4 linked regions of the Caenorhabditis elegans genome follow. The protein of the gene in region 1 purifies or fractionates together with the protein of each later gene. This does not show direct contact. Each region holds a gene or a part of one and is shown in the gene's direction. Other genes may lie near its edges. The genes, in order: cey-4, rpl-4, byn-1 and K12H4.7.

Region 1 (3,840 bases):
CTTTTTTCGATTTTTGAGCATTTTTTTTTTCTCATTTTCATTCAAAAATCCATTTAATACTTACTTTACACATGTAAAATGAGCGTATCCCCCGGCTTTTATTTGAGTTTCGATTAGCATTTGAATTGCAAGCGGGAAATTTCCTTCTTCAATAGTTTCTCGAATGTGCTGTTCGGTCTCGTGGAAGCCTTTTATCGTTGTGAGCGTCATTTTCAGCTGATTTAGAACGATTTTCTTATTTTTATAAGCGATTAATCCGAGACACGTCCGAGTTTGGCTTGTCGCCAGCGCGAGCGCTTTTCGTATCGTCAGAATTTCGTTGATAACACTTCCGACTTCGTCTCGGATTTTCTCCATTTCACCGACCTGTGCCGTGTAGGATGAAGATTTTTGCATGATTAGTGTGGATATTTTCTTGGAAACCACAGTATGCTGAGATTTTAGCCGAAACCTCTCGCGCTGGATGTCCTCGTAGCACATTTCGATGTCACAGAGCTTCTAAAAGTTAAAATTTTCGTTTTACTTGGTTTTTTGTTCCACTAAACCTTCAATTCATAGTCAATCGCATCGAACTCATCGTTATCTATAAAATACGCGGCGTCTATCGAGTTGATGACGTCATCTTCCTCGGAAATTTTTGATTTTACTCTCCGAGGCGTTGAGTTTTGTGAATTACTCTCTGGAGCTATTGGAGGGCTTTCCGAGCACGACGGAGCATCGTAAGAGCTCATAACTTTCTCGTTCATATTATCTAATAAAACCTGAAAAGTCGATTTAATATTTGACATTTTCCTTGAAAAAATTCCCACTTTTACATCGCTATCCGAAGAAAATTGTTCGCCTATTTGATTAACAGTTTTTGCTAGTTGTTCCTTAAATCGGTCCATTTCTCGCCAAGCTTTCACCTCTGAAATTGTTAATTTGTTAGTATTTTAATTTAAAAAACCAGCGGAAGCAAGCAAAATTAATTTAAATTTCAAGTAGCAGTATCGATTTTTCTGTAAATCCTGTGAAAAACCACTCGAAAATCTAATTATTCCAATCGATTTTTCCCAAAGAGGAAGCTAAAAGCGGATAAGAAAGAGTAAATCCGAGAAAAAGTGTGCCAGGGTGTTGCGTTTCCTTGCAATGCGCGCGCGTTTCTCTATTGCGAGCACAGCACCATTTTTCAAATAAGACGTTTTCTCCCTTCTTGGCAGTCGATTTTTATTAGTTCTTTCTTATTTTTTGGTGAAAAATTGAAAATTGCCGTCGTTTCTTCGGTTTTTTGGCGTTAAATTGAATATTAAACAGAAAAATTGTGATAATATGAGGAAATATCCTAAAATTCTCGATATATTTCGAAATTGTAAGAGCTTTTTTGCAATATTTCCCCGATTTTTTCCATTAAGTTCGTTCCGATTTCCAATAAATTTGAAAAAAAAACAACGGCGCTTAGCACTTTTTAATCGGATGATAACATTTCCGCCCCATGTCAATTTGACTTATCGATCGTTCTGTCGTGTCATTTTCCACCACACCCTTTGTGTGGCACATTTGCATTCGATGTTTATATTTAATTTTTTTTTTTTGCAGAGTGTAGTTGAGTACAATCAGCTCAGAGGATTTTCCTCACCCCCTTGACACCATCAAAAACTAAGGCCAACGCCGTGAAACATCATGTCGACTGAACAAGCTAACGGAACAACTATTGAGGAGAAGAAGGACAAAGGTGAGTAGGACAGGTGGTCTTCAATATTTAATCCCTCAAATTGCAGTTGCCGAGGTGACCGAGAAATTGGACAACCTGGCCGTCGACACTACCAACGAGGCGAACGATGCAAAGCAGCCAGCACGTCGTGGCGGATTCCGCGGACGAGGACGTGGTCGTGGTCGCGGAGGACACTTCTACCAACCAAGACCACCATATGAGGATCAGATGAAGAAGCTCGAGGAGGATCTTGCATCGAAGAAGGTCATCGAGACCGGTGTCAAAGGACACGTCAAATGGTTCTCCGTTCGTGGACGCTACGGATTCGTTGCTCGTGATAAGCCAACCGACGAGAATGAGGACTTCTTCGTCCATCAGACCGCCATCACCAAGTCAAGCACCATTAAGTTCTATCTCAGAACTCTCGATGACGATGAGCCAGTCGTCTTTGACATTGTCGAAGGACTCAAAGGACCAGAAGCCGCCAACGTGACTGGACCAGATGGGGAGAATGTTCGTGGATCGAGATTCGCTCGTACTTTGCTCACCCATTGGAGAACAAGAGGACGTGGTGGTGCACGAGGACGCGGTGGACGAGGACGTGGTGCTCCACGTCAGACACGTGACCAGGACGGAGATGAGAAAGATGAGAAGGAGAAGTCGGACACCATTGAGAATAGGTTAGTCTAGCTTTTAGTAACGGTTCTGGTGTTTTTAGGCTCAAAATGCGCTCAAATAAACCGATTTATTTAAAAAAAAAAATGAAAAATGGGCTGAAATTAAGTAAAATCTCAAAGTGGCCGCCGAAAGTTGATATTTTCGGTATCATCTGCTTTTATTGCATATTTTAGTCGTTTATCTCATATTAGTTCGTTGATTTTTGGCATTTTTGGTTACCTATTGGTGTAAAAACTACTTTAATCAACGAAATAATGTGAGATAAACGAGCAAAATATGCAATAAAGGTAGATAATTCCGAAAAAAAAAATCATTTTTGGACAGAAAGTGGCCAAATTGGACGTTAGCCCATTTTTTCAAATTTTAAAGAAGTTTTATTATGCAATTTGCACATTTTGGGTCTATACCAGGGGTGTGCGGCAAATCTCAAAATTTGCCGAGCTCGGCAAATTCGGCAAATTTGCCGCACACCCCTGGTCTATACGTTCCATTTAAAACTGGAATTTTAACTCTAAAATTACAATTTTTCAGCGGAGACGGAGAAACTCGCGGAAAGCGTCGCACTCGCCGCCACGGAAAGCTCCAGCCAGATGCTCCATCCGGCGAGAAGGGAGACGGTGATGCTGCCGCTGCCACTACCGATGCTGCTCCAGCCGCCGAGAAGAAGAAGAAACGTCAGCGCAAGGGAAATAAAGAGCCCACCACCACCACTGAGCAGAAGGAAGAGACCGCTGCTCCAGCTAAAGCTTAGGCTTCTAGCTGTTGACACCTACCATCAACTTTTGTTATCTAATTAAACACCTTTTGTATTGAGAACAGTCCCATTTCTTGAATTGTATAGCTGATCCTTTCGAAAAGCCCAAAATTTCCAAAATTTGTTCTGCACGATTTATATCCACTCAGTTCTTTGGAATTCAATTTCGAGAACTTTTTGAGTTTATATTAAGTAAAAGTTTCAATGCAAATGATTCTGTTCATTGTTTTATAGAAATCAAATTCAAACTACCAGTAAGCAATAAAAATATGTAATAAATAATTAGGAATTTAGGAAAGCTCGAATCCAGTCCCAGCGTGGATCGCGTAACGAAGTTTCTCGAGCAGCAGTGACTTCTTATTGTAATTCGGAAGCTTTAGCAAGTTAAAGCAGGTGGACGCAGTTGGAAGTCGAGTAGCTGCAGTTCCCTTTCTCAAAGCCAAGAATCCACGAACCACACTTCCCAAGGTGTCTCCCTGATCCTGATCGTCGGAAACTTCAACGCATCGAATGGAGAAGGGCGGCTCGAGATACGAAAATCCAAGAACAGGAGGTCTCGAGCAAGAAGTGACAAACTTTAGGAACAGTTTCCTCTCTTCTGAAGTGAACTTGTTCTCAAGAATATCCCAAAGCCATTTAATAAGCCGATGGTTTCCATGGAATCCTCCGAAATATTGCACATTGCGCTTCAGATCCGCCAGATCGATGTCTCTGGAAT
Region 2 (3,842 bases), on another chromosome or scaffold:
TGCATTTGGCCATTTTGAGGAAAAATATGGAAAACTGGATATTAATTTGATGTTTGGAGCAATCGGAGTCATCGCTTTGGTTCTTGGAACACCTACATTAAATTTGTTGGATAGATTTGGTGTAGAACCATTACATCCACTTCCAAATGCTACACAGTTCTCGTCAATTTTATTTTCTGCGCTCATTGGTGAGATTTATTGTATTAATGAGTATTTTTAATATTAATTTTTTTTTTAATTTCAGGAACAATTGTCGCTGATTACCTTTGGCTTCTTGCCGCTGGAATGTGTGATTCTCTCACCACCTGCCTATCAATGACTGTAAGCATTCCTCTGTCATTCCTCGCCGATACAGTGATTCGAAGCAAAGCTCCAACACTGGCACAAGTTATTGCATCGATTCCGATCCTCGTGGCATTCGTTGGCGCTGCATATGCACAAAATCCGTCAACTTCAATACGAAAAGGGCTTTCAAAACGAGTACGAAAAGTGGAATCATTATCGCCGGACAATGAACATCTTATGGATAGTCTATCGGACGAGTAGCATCTCTCTTAGAAACATTGTTTAAACTCTCTCAGAATCTCTATTTTCTCTTGTTCTACTGGTCGCTTTATAGGCATTCGAAGGTTGTGACACACTCCCCTCTGATCAACTAGTCATATTTAATTTTTTTTGCACTGTATTAAATTCGGGAAAAATAAATGTTTGAAGAAATATCGTTTTATGTTACTTTTATAAACTTGATATTTATCAGACAATTCAGATCGTTCAGTAAATCGGAAGTGAAAATTAATACAGCGTTGGCTTTTTGGTTTTGTGATCAACCCGGCATATTACTAGTAATTTAACGATTAATATTAAAATTATGCCACAAAGCGAGCTTTGGTGTCTTGTCCTGGAACATCAATGAATATTCCTCTTGCAGATGACTCAAAAATCTTGACATTCGCTTTACGCTTTCCATGTTGTTCCTGATCGAATGAATCCAATTCCGGAGTGTAACGGTTTTTGGGATAGTAGCGAGCTAGAGTGTTGTAGGCGGATTTCGGAGTCTGAAAATAAAATGATTGTTTTTAATTTCAAAATAAATTATCAACTTACCAAACTAATTTCCTTTCCAATGACCGTCCCAACTGGAAGATCAGTAAGTTTCACAGATGCCAGACAATTTGAGCGCATACACTCCAGAACCATCATACGATCGGGACGTCCTGGATCAACAACTCGAAGCATTCGGCATCCACAATGAGAGCATTGTTCTTCTGAAAACATACTGGTGTTCGAATCATCGTCCATTTTTCTTTTCGCATTTCTTCGAAATCCTGATGATTCAACTGACGATGTCGACGGTGTTGTGGAAATTATCTCACCTGAAAACTCAATTATTTAACAAAACATATTATTGTAAAACACATACCAACTGTTTCAACGTCGTTCAATTTTCTCAGCGTATCCTCATTTACACGGAAATTTTTCATCTGTGCCGCTTTCCGCAATAATTCCATTCGCTTGTAGTCGATTTTCACGAGAGGAAAGAATGTTGATGTAGAAGACAGCATCTATCCCAAACACTTATGTATTGAAACAAGTAAAAACACAATTAAACTATTTGAAAACGTTTTTAAGCAAGAAAATGGAAGGATCGGGTTTGAAATCAGCGGATACCGCGCCCTCGTAAATTGACACAAGTTGCCTGCCGACATTTCGTCTCATCGCGGCGAGACCCCGACGTTGGATACTCAGCCAATACCCTAATTTTTGCCTCCCTTTAAACACGATTTCCCTGTTTTCTGAAATTTTTTAGGAACTTTTTTCGTTTTTTCAATATAAAAAAGATTTTCGGTGATATTTTCACATTTGGAATGTATTAAAATAAGGTTTTGAATATCCTAAGCCTGTTTCGGTCGAAAAATCTGAATATTGCCTAAAATATCATCATTTTTTCTTTACTCTTCTCGCATTTTTTGAATCATTTTCTTTTAAAATTAATCTATTTTTTACTATTTCTGTTGATTGCAGGTAATAATGGCGGCCAGACCGCTCGTGACTGTGTACGATGAAAAGTACGAGGCCACTCAATCTCAAATCCGGCTCCCAGCCGTTTTCCGTACTCCAATCCGCCCAGACTTGGTGAGCTTCATCGCCGATCAGGTCCGCAGAAACAGAAGACAGGCCCATGCCGTTAACACCAAGGCCGGTAAGTGACATAATTAGATTCGGTTATTGATTATTTTAATTTCAAACTAACTTCTGTGTTCCTCAATTACTATTTATTTCAGGAAAGCAACACTCTGCTGAGTCCTGGGGAACTGGACGTGCCGTTGCCCGTATTCCACGTGTTCGCGGAGGAGGTACCCACCGTTCCGGACAGGGAGCTTTCGGAAATATGTGCCGTGGAGGACACATGTTCGCCCCACTCAAGGTGTTCCGCCGCTGGCACCGCAACGTCAACATTGCCCAGAAGAGATACGCTGTTTCCTCAGCTATTGCTGCCTCCGGAATCCCAGCTCTTCTCCAAGCTCGTGGACACGTCATCGATCAAGTAAGTAAACTTTTTTAAAAGTTTTGTTCCTATTTACAGTACTATTTTTTAGGTCGCTGAGGTCCCACTTGTTGTTTCCGACAAGGTCGAAAGCTTCCGCAAGACCAAGGAGGCCGTCGTCTTCCTCCGTCGCTCCCACTTGTGGGCTGATATCGAGAAGGTATACCATTTAAAAAAATTAAATTTGTTTTTAACGTAACAGTTTTAAGGTTTACAACTCGAAGAGAAACCGCGCCGGAAAGGGAAAGCTCCGCAACCGTCAACACAAGCAGAAGCTCGGACCAGTTGTTATCTACGGACAAGATGCTGAGTGCGCTCGTGCCTTCCGCAACATCCCAGGAGTCGATGTCATGAATGTTGAGAGACTCAACCTTCTCAAGCTCGCCCCAGGAGGACATCTCGGACGTCTTATCATCTGGACCGAGTCTGCCTTCAAGAAGCTTGATACCATCTACGGAACCACCGTTGCCAACTCTTCTCAACTCAAGAAGGGATGGTCTGTCCCACTCCCAATCATGGCCAACTCCGACTTCTCCCGCATCATCCGTTCCGAAGAGGTCGTTAAGGCTATCAGAGCTCCAAAGAAGAACCCAGTGCTTCCAAAGGTCCACCGCAACCCACTCAAGAAGAGAACCCTCTTGTACAAGTTGAACCCATATGCTTCTATCCTCCGCAAGGCTTCAAAGGCCAACGTGAAGAAATAAGTATTCTGTTGTTGATAAACTTTTTTGTTAATAACCGATTTAATTTGTTGAACGCATTGTTTAAATTTCCAGAACGATTTACTTTGACAACAGATTTATTTCAAAAATAATTTAAATATGATCATAAGCTGAGCTGCTAGGGTTATCACATTTCCGAAACGATTTGATGTTCCGATCTATGCGCTGTAAAATATCTTTCATAGATTTTTCTTCTCGGCTACTGTCGACCCGTTCAGTAGTGGCAGGCACAATTTTGCATTGAGTTTCTTGCAAAGATGGTTTGAGATTAGGTTGTTGTGAATTGAAAATGGGTATTCTAATGAATTGCTTCATGAACAAGGCGCTGGGAGACCAAAGCTTGTTTGCACGAACGAGAGATGAAACCTGAAATCGTACATGAACAACAGATAAGGAGAAACAAATGGAACCAACCGAACAATTATGCTTTAATGCTATTCTTTCAAGTGTATCATCGGTTTGAACTTGGTAAATTGTATATGAACATGGTGTAACTGGTGAAGATTGACTTTGGGTTGTGCCGTATCTTCGAACCTGTAGAATCACATTTTAAATGTGCTGTGAGGACCGATTAA
Region 3 (6,095 bases), 3.9 Mb from region 1:
TCGAATCTTTCGACGACATGGAGCTCAAGGAGGAGCTTCTTCGCGGAATCTACGGATTCGGTTTCGAAAAGCCATCTGCTATTCAAAAGCGCGCAATTGTTCCATGCACCACTGGAAAGGACGTCATCGCTCAAGCCCAATCTGGAACTGGAAAGACTGCAACTTTCTCGGTCTCTATTCTTCAGAGAATCGACCACGAGGATCCACACGTGCAAGCTCTCGTTATGGCCCCAACCAGAGAATTGGCTCAACAGGTAAACTTTCTCACTCAGTGTATTTTAGTTATAGATTATTAGCAGATACTTTTAAAGAAAACTTTTCAAAATCTTTCTTTGTAGATCCAAAAGGTCATGAGCGCCCTCGGAGAGTACCTCAACGTTAACATTCTTCCATGTATCGGTGGAACCAGTGTTCGCGACGATCAACGAAAACTCGAAGCCGGAATTCACGTCGTTGTCGGAACTCCAGGACGTGTTGGAGACATGATCAATAGAAATGCTCTTGACACATCCAGAATTAAGATGTTCGTTCTCGACGAGGCCGACGAAATGCTTTCTAGAGGTTTCAAGGATCAGATCTACGAGGTTTTCCGTTCCATGCCACAAGACGTTCAAGTAGTCCTTCTTTCGGCTACTATGCCATCTGAAGTTCTTGATGTCACTAATCGTTTCATGCGCAATCCAATCCGCATTCTTGTCAAGAAGGACGAGCTCACCCTTGAAGGTATCAGACAGTTCTACATCAACGTTCAAAAGGATGTAAGTTTACTCGCCCAGTCTAAGAAATTGTTTTCATGAACCATTTTTTCAGGAGTGGAAGTTTGACTGCCTCTGTGATCTCTACAACGTTGTCAATGTTACTCAAGCCGTCATCTTCTGTAACACTCGCAGGAAGGTCGACACACTCACCGAGAAAATGACTGAAAATCAGTTCACAGTCTCTTGCCTCCACGGAGACATGGATCAAGCTGAGCGTGATACAATTATGCGAGAGTTCCGTTCAGGATCTTCCCGTGTTCTCATCACCACAGACATCTTGGCTCGTGGTATTGACGTACAACAGGTAAGTATAAATATTTGTGTTTATAATTCAATACTATGGAATGTATATATTTTAGGTCTCACTTGTTATCAACTATGATCTCCCATCCAATCGTGAGAACTACATCCATCGTATCGGACGTTCTGGACGTTTCGGTCGTAAGGGAGTTGCCATCAACTTCGTCACCGAGAACGATGCTCGTCAGCTCAAGGAAATTGAAAGCTACTACACCACTCAAATCGAAGAGATGCCAGAATCAATCGCTGACCTCATCTAAATTTTAATCCAATTCCGATCCCCTCCACGATTGTTCCACACGCTTTTCCCTTCCTCTTGTTTCCTCATATTTATCCATGTTATCTGTTTTCTCCTCCACCCCCACCGTCCCACATTTTTATTTTATGCGTGATTTCATCTTTTTAATCACCCCTTTTTAGTACTGGCCCTATCCCATCCAACTTGGTTCAAACATTCTAATTCTCTTTCAATTTAGAGTTTAGTATTGCCCCCTAAAAGTTATAGAGCCACCTTGGTTTTGTTTGACAAAATGTTTTTGTCTGGCGTTCTCTTTTTCTGGAAAATAATGAAATTGCGTATGTTACATTCATTTTAAATCTTATGAACAGGCTTCTGATCCTTTCAGAATATATTGAACACCGTAATTCTGCTAATTTTTAATTATGAATTTCCAGTAACATGGTGAAAAGGAATTTGAAAGGAAGGGGTGACAAATTATCAGCCAATGCTCCACTGGATAACCAGTTGGAAGCTGGTAAAGTTGCAAAGCAACGAGATGAGCTTCGCGAAAAGCAGAAGAGAAAAAGGGAAGACTCGCAGACAGACGAGGTCAGTAAATATTCAGGGAAAATTAAATATTATTTTCATTGACCAGAGAGTTCATAAAATTAGTTTCAGTTCGTTCCTGATTCGCTCTCATCAAAAATCTTGAATGAAGCTCGTAAGCAGCTTCTCGAAGAGGCACTGGAAAGACAAGAAACCGAATCAGCCACATCTAGTGTTCCAAAAAGGTAAATAAACAATTTATCATAATTCAATGCAAGTATTTCTGTTACAGACAACGCGGAGCTTGGCTTGGAGCTGATGCATCCGGCGACAAATCGGACGATGATGATGATGATAATGAAGAAGAAGACGACAATGGATTTGAAGATCAAGTTGTTGTAAGTAAAATCTATTTAGCTTCGTGATAATAATGTTAAACTCCATTTATAGGAACTCGATCCTCGAGATGAAGCTGATTTGGCTAGATTCCTCAAAAAAGATGCTATCCAAATGTCCACACTCTACGATATTATTCAAGCCAAAATTGAAGCTAAACAGAATGATGCAGAGCTTGCACTCAGCCAAGTTGATCCGAATGAGTTTAATGTAATTTTTAAGCATCGAGCCTTGAAGCATAACAAAATGTTTACAGATGCGTGACATGGACCCAGAAGTAGTTGAGATGTATGAGCAGATTGGACAGTATATGTCAAAATATCGCAGTGGAAAAGTCCCAAAAGCATTCAAAATCATTCCAAAAATGATTAACTGGGAGCAAATTCTTTTGTTAGTTGTCTGTTAGTATCGGATTTGAATAAAATAAAACATATTCAGCCTCACAAAGCCTGAAACTTGGACGGCTGCTGCTATGTATCAAGCCACAAGATTGTTTGCGTCGAACATGAACCCAAAAATGTGTCAGAGGTATTTAAATGCCGATTTTAGATATATCAGCTCTAAAACCGTTTGATTCAGATTCTACACTCTTGTTCTTCTCCCACGTCTTCGTGACGACATTGATGAATTCAAGAAACTTAACTATCATCTGTATCAAGCCCTCTGCAAAGCTATCTACAAGCCTGCCGCTTTCTTCAAAGGATTGATTCTTCCATTATTAGAAGTGAGTTTAACTTAAATATTTTTCATGTATATTCTTTTTTTCTCAGTCTGGAACATGTACACTTCGTGAAGCTGTTATCTTCAGCTCTGTCCTCACCAAAGTCCCGATTCCAATTTTTCATTCCGCTGCTGCTATGCTTAGGGTAACTTTTGTTTTAAAATATCTCATCAAAAACCTGTTGATATTTCAGATTGCCGAAATGGAATACACTGGAGCTAATTCCGTGTTTCTTCGAGCTCTCATTGATAAGAAGTATGCTTTACCGTATCGTGCAGTCGACGGAGTCGTTAATCACTTCATTCGTCTGAAAACCGATGAACGAGATATGCCAGTTTTGTGGCATCAGTGTCTTTTGGCACTGTGCCAGCGATACAAGAACGATTTGAATGCCGAGCAGAAGGCAGCTATTTATGAGCTGATCAGAGTAAGTTTAATTTTTAAAAACTATTAAAACTTCGAGTTTTATTATCACGAGAACATCTAGTTAGGAGAGTTATTTTCATGGCTTCTTCAGTCTCGAATCCTTACCAGACAATGGACCCGAACTAGGCCCAGAGTTGCCACCTGGACCGTTCGATGCGCTTGACGGTTTCTTCTTGTTACGTCTTCCAGTCTTTTTAGCAGTTTTATCTCTCATCGGATCTGACATTGGTCCAGTAGACATCATTTTTGCACGGAGCTGTCCTGTCGACTTGTTGACCGAGGTTTTATCTTTCTTTCCTGTGATTTCGTACATCATCTGGACAACTTGGCTCATAGTGGGGCGCTGTTGAGGATCGCGAATCCAGCACTTTTTCTGGAAAATTCCACATTGCTATGAAAATAGTGGAATGAAATAGAACTTACAATAACATCGGCAAGCATAGCTGGAGCCTTTTGACTAATCGGCATACGGTAATCATCGCGTCCAACCTTCTGATGTACCTGCACCACCAACATCTCCGGATACGGCTGAGCTCCATTCTCGATCACCTCCCAGCAGAGAATCGAGAAAGCAAACACATCAGTTTGTGGAGTATAAAGGAAGGAAACGATCGTTTCTGGTGAGAGCCATCTGATTGGAACTCTTTTGCTCGGATCCATCTGATACTCCGTTCCAACTCGAGATAAACCGAAGTCAGAGACTTTAGCCTGAACGTTATTAGTTATTAACTTTTAAATTATTTATAACATACAACGCCTTTTCCATAGAGTATGTTTCTGGCCGCAATGTCCCTGTGTATAATGTTTTTGCTGTGAATGTATGCCAGACCAGCTGCCACTTGTGCGATTATATCCAGTTTCTCAGGCCATTGTACCGATGAATTCTTCTGAAGATATTTATCCAGAGCACCACCAGGAACTAACTCCATGACTACTAGCAATGGTTCATCGATTGCAGCCACGCCGTAACATTTTACAACGTTCTTGTGATCGAATCCGCGCATCAGACGTGCTTCTGTGATGATCTCCTTGATTTGTTCTTTAGTCACTTTTTCAAGTTTTGCCTGAAGTTTCGTCATTACTTTTTATATAAAAGTCTAGTCCAACTCACAACTTTTATAGCGACATCTACTGTAGTCGATCCCATTTTCAGCGTCCCAAGCTTTACTTCTCCGAAAGCACCTTCACCAAGAACTTTTGTCATTGTAATATCGGCGTGATTCAGTTCCCATGATTGTCTACCGATAGGATTCACTAGAACACTGCTTGCAACTTCCTGAACAACAATAATTAGTCTATAATGTGCATGAATCGCTCGTACCTCACTAATTTTAGCCTGTTTGTGATGATTTACTAACTCAGTCAATGTTCCAAATTTAATTTTATCAGTGATTGAATATGCTCCGTCGCTTGTACGAATCACATAATGAGCAACTTCTTGACTTGTCTCGTTCTGCATCACCGAAATGATCAAATGACGTGCTTGTCCTTGAGGCTCTGACGTTCTCATCAGATAATCGCCATTTTTTTGAAGTAAAAGCTGAAAAAGTCGGTGCTCCTTTTAAATAAATATTACTCTCAAATTACCTTTACTTCTTCTCGTGGAAGAAGTCCGTGAAAGAATGGTTGCTCATTGATCTCCATTGCGCCAATTATGTGAAAAGAGTGTAGAATTAATTTCTACGATTATCGAAATGATTAAAATTTCACTTCTGATCGATCTTATGCGTGTTTTCTTCTTTTTTTTAATTTTTTTCCTGGCGTATGGGTTCACATCATTGGTCACGTAAATTTTTTTTTCATAATTATAAAGTTTAAGTCAGGTAATTTCCGAAGTTTTATGGTCCCATGAGTTCAATGTTTCCATTGTTTTTAACCAATTTCAATTTATAGTTCCATGGACACTATCTCATCTCGCCTGAAATTCGCCGTGAGCTCGAATCCAAGGAAACCGAAGACGGACATGTTATCACTTCAGTTGTGGTCGAAGGCCGAAAGACGGATAGTATGGAATTCTAAATCACACACAAACAGAAAGAGACGCAGAAGAGAAATATTTCCCGCTTTCACTCTATTCTGCACGTAGGCTTTGCTCTTTTCTTCTATTTCCATTATTGTTCGTTTCCCCGCGCCCCTCCCCAAAAATTGTTCATTTCTTTGTTTTTTATTCATCATTGTTGGTTATGTTACTCTCTTCCTCATTCAAATGAAATTGTTGTTGATTTTCTAAATACAAAGTATTAGTTTCAAAGAGCAAAGGTTTTCGTCCCTAACTTAATGCTTGTTTTTTCAAATTCATGTTATCATGTCTTTGACGAGAGAAAGTTTTCAGATTCGTCAAAAAAAAATGATAACCAGGTCAATAGGTATCGCTAGAAGATCCAATTCGATTAATTGCATTGTTGGATCAAATACAAGCACTTCATATAGTTTAGATGAATCAACAAAAAGATGGATTTCCACTAGGTTCAGAATTCGAAAATTTTAATTTTAATTGTTATAATTTTAGTACAAAACAACCAATGTCACTGATACCAACTGCAAGTAGCCTTGTTGCTTCTTCTCCGCCAAATTTGAAGCCATATCTTCAACTGATGAGAGTCGACAAGCCTATCGGTAATTTATTATTACACAGACGCGAAGTTTTGGGAGTTTTGCGCCGAAAATACGATACCTAGTCTCGACGCGATTAATTTTGTAAAATACAAACAAATGTGCGCCTTTAAGA
Region 4 (5,166 bases), 2.8 Mb from region 1:
AAAAGAAACCCCGAAAATGTATACTTTGGCCACACATATTTCTGAAAATTTGTGAAATTGAGAAGTTGAAAAATCAAATCTCCATAAAAACCCCTTCGGTAAGTGTTCATAAAACAATTATTTTGTCAAAAATTTTCCAGCAACTTATACAATAGTAGATAATTATGAAAATTGAGAAATCACGTGATATCCAACTCTCTTAGTCTCAATGCAGCAACAAATAAAAATTCTCATCAACCACCGTAACCAACTATTTTTATTATCTCAAATCCCAAGTTCCCATACCATTAAAACTCGAGACTGTGCACATAATTGGATTGGATACTTGTGAAAAACTGAGTTGTATCTTACACATTCCACTCTTTCTGTTTTGGACAAAAAAATAGTGGGAAATTTATGTTTGAATAGAATTCGATAAATACATGTGTGTGGATTTTTTCGAAATTGGAAAATATTTAGTTTGATATTTTGTAATCATTTTCACAATTTTTTAACACGTTAAAAAACAAAAAAAAAGAATATTAAAAACCAAAACCAAATGAAGAAAAATCTGTACGAATAGAAAAGTTGCATAACACCCAAGAATAATAATAATTGGCTAAAGATGGAGAATTTAATAGTTGCGTGACGGCGGAACAAAACTAGATGACCATTTAGACGGTTACTCAATATATTTAATTGCACTTTTTATGAAGATGCTATGGTTTTTCAATGTTTTTTCTCTTTTTGAACTGTCTCGTATTGCAAGTTATGGCTAACGGAATCGAAAGTTTGAAAGAAAAAGGAAAATGGAAGATTCTTGATGTTTGCTAATATATCGTATTCTCTAAGGATTCCAACAAGAAATGCATCACGTTCACAGTTTGGAAATACAAGTTCTACCGTATTCTACCATAATTTCATTTCTCAAGCATTTTTTTTCCAAATTTCAATGTATAAAAAAGACACAACGCAAGACTTGCATCAACACCCAGGTGGTCTCTAACTGCCCTTTTTTTCACTTTTTTACCTCGAGAATTTTGGGAAAAAAAGTTGAAGGAGTGTCAAGACACATCTTTGGTTATGTAACTATTGCGTAATCGAGACTTTAGGCAGCATTCACGTAATTTGGAAATTTAGAATTAAATTCAATATGTAGAAATAAACGTTTGAAAGCTAGCAAATTATAGAGGGAAATAATATTTTTAGAGTTTAGATTTCTGTGAGAATTCTTGACAAATTTTTAGCACCTACGATCGTGATGAGAAATCAAATCAATAAAAATTGGAACTTGCGAGAACATAGCGAGACCTTAATTCACCAATTTTGAACAAATGTCTCGATTTAAAACTTGAAAAACGGAGTATTGAATAGATGAGCACCTACCTCTCATCTCCTCAACCGGGAGGCGTGATGTGGCTAGTGTTTGCGAACAACGGAAAAGAAATAAGATTGAAGAAGGTAGAATAGAAGAAGAAGTCAAGTGAGAGCAGGTAAAACAGTTCAGTGCACATATTTATGGAAAATGATGGAATGGAGAAACGGAATTTTAAAAAAATTTGAAATGATGACTGGCTTGTTGCAAGTGTTTTTCGAAGAATACCGTATTTCCTCTATTAGTAATTTATTTATTCAACCAACTTTTCCTTTTATTTTCTTCCATATCCTGACAGAAAATGCTTAGGTATGATGTTATGAATATGGAAATTTTATTTTTGAAAAGATTATATTCAATTTGATAGTTCCAGTAAACAATTAAACGTTTCGAATTCCAACTTTTTATTGATCTTTGCAGTTTCTCTGAAATTGGCTTTGTTATTTTATTTTTCAAACTTTGGCCCAGTATTCCTGTAAACTAAGAACCCAGTTTGCAAGTACGTCAGTCTAAAAGATGATTTAGTATTTCGAATGTAGTTGTGCCACGAATCAGTAAAATCATCATTTAAATGTGATAGCGAAAACGGAATTGAACTCGCAAATCAGCGATAAATTATTTGATAAGGAAAAGTGTATAAGTGGGTGCTTATCAACTGAAAACTCTTGCTTTATTTCACTTTTTCTTTTTATTCTAGAAAGTGGAAACATGAAGACTCTTTTGGCAGTGCTACTGGCAGGTAAATTTAATTTTAAACATCGTTTTAGAATTTCTGTAGCTACTTTCTCTTTGAGGAGCTTAAAAGTGAAGTTGCCCAGATTCAATGCCAGTTCCGTAAATTTCATGAGTCGTTTTTTTCTAAAATTCGTGACCATTAGGCTATATGGCCAGAACATATTTTTATTACTCAAAATCTAAAAAAACAAATTATGAAGTCTCACATATTTTTCTGGAAATAAGGAATCTGGAAACTGTTTTCGACGGGAATATACTCTATCTAGACCTAGATCTAGTCTAGCCAATGTTCTCAAATGTTGTATTGTTGAATCTTTCAAAAGAATTTTCTACTAATCTTTACAACGAAATACACAAAATTTATAATTCGTGGATTCATTTTTATCGAGACGAGCAACTGTCTAAAAACTAAGGTTTCAAAACTGATAACATTATTTACCATCGAATTAATAAATTTTAAGTTCAGTTCTATGTTTACCATAGTTTCTGTAGTTTCACACTGAATAACTTAACATTTCAGCATGTGTGCTGACCCAGGTATTGTCTGCTCCAAGCAATGAGCAGCGTGTTCGTCGTAACATGATCCGTGGACGTCCACGTGGAGGAATGAAGAAGACTCCACCAGTAAGTGTTCAAACATCCAATGTACAGAACAAAAAAAGTCTATTCCAGATGTCTTCCGTTTCTCATATGATCAACTTTGACAATGTAGTCTCATCTACTTTCACTCAAACTCTTGATCATTTTGATTCTTCCGTCGGAAAGACTTTCCAGCAGAGATATTATCATAACAACCAATGGTACAAGGCTGGAGGACCAGCTTTCTTGATGCTTGGAGGAGAAGGACCAGAGTCTAGTTATTGGGTTTCTTATCGTTAGTTTACTTTTTTATCATACAAGACATTTTATTTTTAAAGCTGGACTTGAAATCACCAACTTGGCTGCCAAACAAGGAGCCTGGGTCTTTGATATTGAGCACAGATTCTATGGAGAGACTCACCCAACCAGGTATTTCTTTTTACGAAATAACTCCCTATTATTAATGTTTTCCAGCGACATGTCCGTACCAAACCTGAAATACTTGTCTTCTGCCCAAGCTATTGAGGATGCCGCCGCTTTCATTAAGGCAATGACCGCCAAGTTCCCACAATTGGCCAATGCCAAGTGGGTCACTTTCGGAGGATCCTACTCTGGAGCTTTGGCCGCATGGACTCGTGCAAAGCATCCAGAATTGGTGTATGCTGCTGTTGGATCCAGTGGTCCAGTTCAAGCCGAGGTTGACTTCAAAGGTTAAAAAGATACGCAGCAATTTACTTCCAATTACTTTCTATTTCAGAGTATCTTGAGGTTGTACAAAACTCAATTACCCGTAACTCAACTGAGTGTGCCGCCAGTGTGACCCAAGGATTCAACTTGGTTGCTTCTCTTCTTCAAACTTCCGATGGACGCAAACAATTGAAAACTGCTTTCCAGTGAGTTTATTATGATGTATGCTTACTAGTTAGCCAAAGCCAAAAACCTCGAGTGAACCTTCTGTATTCCCCCCATTCCTGCGCGTTTCAAACTGAATTAACCGCTCTAACTTTTTTGAAACTTTTCTCTGGAAGTTCCAGTCTCTACATAGTTCCTTTGTCAGCTATTCTAGTCACAAATGTTTTGAGAAGTGCGTATAACTTGGCGTGTTCATTCAATGCGTCAAATTGAAATATATATTGTAAAATAAGCAACAATTTTTCAGTCTCTGCCAAGACATTCAAATGGACGATAAATCACTCAAGTATTTCTGGGAAACAGTATATTCTCCATACATGGAGGTTGTTCAATATTCTGGTGATGCCGCTGGATCGTTTGCCACTCAACTCACAATTTCTCATGCCATTTGCCGTTATCACATTAACACTAAATCAACACCACTTCAGAAATTGAAACAAGTCAATGACTATTTTAACCAAGTCAGTGGATATTTCGGATGCAATGATATTGATTACAATGGTTTCATTTCTTTCATGAAAGATGAAACATTCGGAGAGGCTCAATCTGACAGAGCATGGGTTTGGCAGACTTGCACTGAGTTCGGATATTATCAATCAACTTCATCAGCTACTGCTGGACCATGGTTCGGAGGTGTAAGCAATCTTCCAGCTCAATATTATATTGATGAATGTACTGCTATCTATGGAGCTGCATACAATAGTCAAGAAGTTCAGACATCTGTAGATTACACTAATCAATATTATGGAGGAAGAGATAATTTGAACACTGACAGAATTCTTCTACCAAATGGAGATATTGATCCATGGCATGCACTTGGAAAATTGACAAGCTCGAACAGCAATATTGTGCCAGTTGTGATCAATGGTAATCTTGAACTTTATGTACAAAAATAGTATAATTACATTAATTCCAGGAACCGCCCATTGTGCTGACATGTACGGAGCATCCAGCTTGGATAGTATGTACTTGACAAACGCCCGCCAAAGAATCTCGGATGTTCTTGATGGATGGCTTCATGCTAATTAATTGTTATGGATTTTATGTTATAGAAATGAAAATTTGACTCTAATATTTCATATCAACGATATTACAAAAATAATAACAATAATCTAAATGTTATAAATAACAAAAGGAAAACATTATCGTCTCGGTGGCAGCAAAATCTTCTGTTTCTCCTCATCAATCTCGTCTAAGATCCGATCATCGCCAGCCCAAATTGCTTCCAAATCGTACTTCTCACGGCATTCTTCACTCATTACGTGCACCTGAAGTATAGGCATTAAAAAATATAATATGTAGGAAGTAATACCTGAACTCTTTCCACCTCACTGACATACCATCCATTGCTTCGTTTTGTGCTCCTTCGTGCATGTGACATGGATCCATTCGACACTCCGTCAATTTTTAGAAGAGATCGAAGATTTTCAGAAATTGCTGAAGCTTGTCGCGAATTGAATGCTGAGCAAATTATCTGAAAATATGAGATTAATTTTCTCCTTACTGAATTACGAGGATTAATTACCTTATGTGTATACGGTGTCATTTCTGTTTCTTCTGATTTTACAACAAATACATCTTTTGCT

Evidence for each region.
Region 2: the proteins of cey-4 (region 1) and rpl-4 purify together in Caenorhabditis elegans (affinity purification with mass spectrometry, with the first as the bait; one large-scale study listed by BioGRID). This does not show direct contact.
Region 3: the proteins of cey-4 (region 1) and byn-1 purify together in Caenorhabditis elegans (affinity purification with mass spectrometry, with the first as the bait; one large-scale study listed by BioGRID). This does not show direct contact.
Region 4: the proteins of cey-4 (region 1) and K12H4.7 purify together in Caenorhabditis elegans (affinity purification with mass spectrometry, with the first as the bait; one large-scale study listed by BioGRID). This does not show direct contact.

The regions. Positions count from the first base shown.
Region 1 is NC_003281.10:10,866,439-10,870,278, reverse strand, and holds cey-4 (CSD domain-containing protein), read left to right. Parts: upstream 1-1,575; 5' UTR 1,576-1,659; coding exon 1,660-1,711; intron 1,712-1,757; coding exon 1,758-2,370; intron 2,371-2,899; coding exon 2,900-3,119; 3' UTR 3,120-3,333; downstream 3,334-3,840. Other genes in the region: vps-50 (Vps54_N domain-containing protein), read right to left, coding at 65-498, 546-761, 810-887; oxi-1 (Ubiquitin-protein ligase E3B), read right to left, coding at 3,413-3,833.
Region 2 is NC_003279.8:4,645,144-4,648,985, reverse strand, and holds rpl-4 (Large ribosomal subunit protein uL4), read left to right. Parts: upstream 1-2,022; 5' UTR 2,023-2,028; coding exon 2,029-2,200; intron 2,201-2,206; exon of another isoform or gene 2,207-2,260; intron 2,261-2,282; coding exon 2,283-2,545; intron 2,546-2,597; coding exon 2,598-2,705; intron 2,706-2,754; coding exon 2,755-3,249; 3' UTR 3,250-3,324; downstream 3,325-3,842. Other genes in the region: B0041.5 (Solute carrier family 35 member F5), read left to right, coding at 1-188, 245-546; B0041.8 (Plus3 domain-containing protein), read right to left, coding at 867-1,055, 1,105-1,373, 1,421-1,562; lmd-2 (LysM domain-containing protein), read right to left, coding at 3,361-3,633, 3,682-3,801.
Region 3 is NC_003281.10:6,930,268-6,936,362, forward strand, and holds byn-1 (Cell adhesion protein byn-1), read left to right. Parts: upstream 1-1,733; 5' UTR 1,734-1,737; coding exon 1,738-1,887; intron 1,888-1,956; coding exon 1,957-2,069; intron 2,070-2,116; coding exon 2,117-2,222; intron 2,223-2,274; coding exon 2,275-2,430; intron 2,431-2,476; coding exon 2,477-2,610; intron 2,611-2,658; coding exon 2,659-2,748; intron 2,749-2,799; coding exon 2,800-2,944; intron 2,945-2,990; coding exon 2,991-3,086; intron 3,087-3,134; coding exon 3,135-3,368; intron 3,369-3,393; exon of another isoform or gene 3,394-3,443; coding exon of another isoform or gene 3,444-3,740; intron 3,741-3,790; coding exon of another isoform or gene 3,791-4,075; intron 4,076-4,119; coding exon of another isoform or gene 4,120-4,431; intron 4,432-4,478; coding exon of another isoform or gene 4,479-4,643; intron 4,644-4,688; coding exon of another isoform or gene 4,689-4,907; intron 4,908-4,954; coding exon of another isoform or gene 4,955-5,011; exon of another isoform or gene 5,012-5,052; intron 5,053-5,260; coding exon 5,261-5,386; 3' UTR 5,387-5,595; downstream 5,596-6,095. Other genes in the region: inf-1 (Eukaryotic initiation factor 4A), read left to right, coding at 1-254, 339-758, 811-1,062, 1,118-1,318; F57B9.8 (Tyrosine-protein kinase), read right to left, coding at 3,444-3,740, 3,791-4,075, 4,120-4,431, 4,479-4,643, 4,689-4,907, 4,955-5,011; coq-2 (4-hydroxybenzoate polyprenyltransferase, mitochondrial), read left to right, coding at 5,715-5,833, 5,877-5,983.
Region 4 is NC_003281.10:8,047,937-8,053,102, reverse strand, and holds K12H4.7 (Putative serine protease K12H4.7), read left to right. Parts: upstream 1-2,021; 5' UTR 2,022-2,062; coding exon 2,063-2,093; intron 2,094-2,609; coding exon 2,610-2,713; intron 2,714-2,761; coding exon 2,762-2,963; intron 2,964-3,006; coding exon 3,007-3,097; intron 3,098-3,142; coding exon 3,143-3,378; intron 3,379-3,425; coding exon 3,426-3,561; intron 3,562-3,827; coding exon 3,828-4,447; intron 4,448-4,496; coding exon 4,497-4,609; 3' UTR 4,610-4,653; downstream 4,654-5,166. Other genes in the region: mals-1 (Mitochondrial Assembly of ribosomal Large Subunit), read right to left, coding at 4,723-4,848, 4,893-5,054, 5,106-5,166.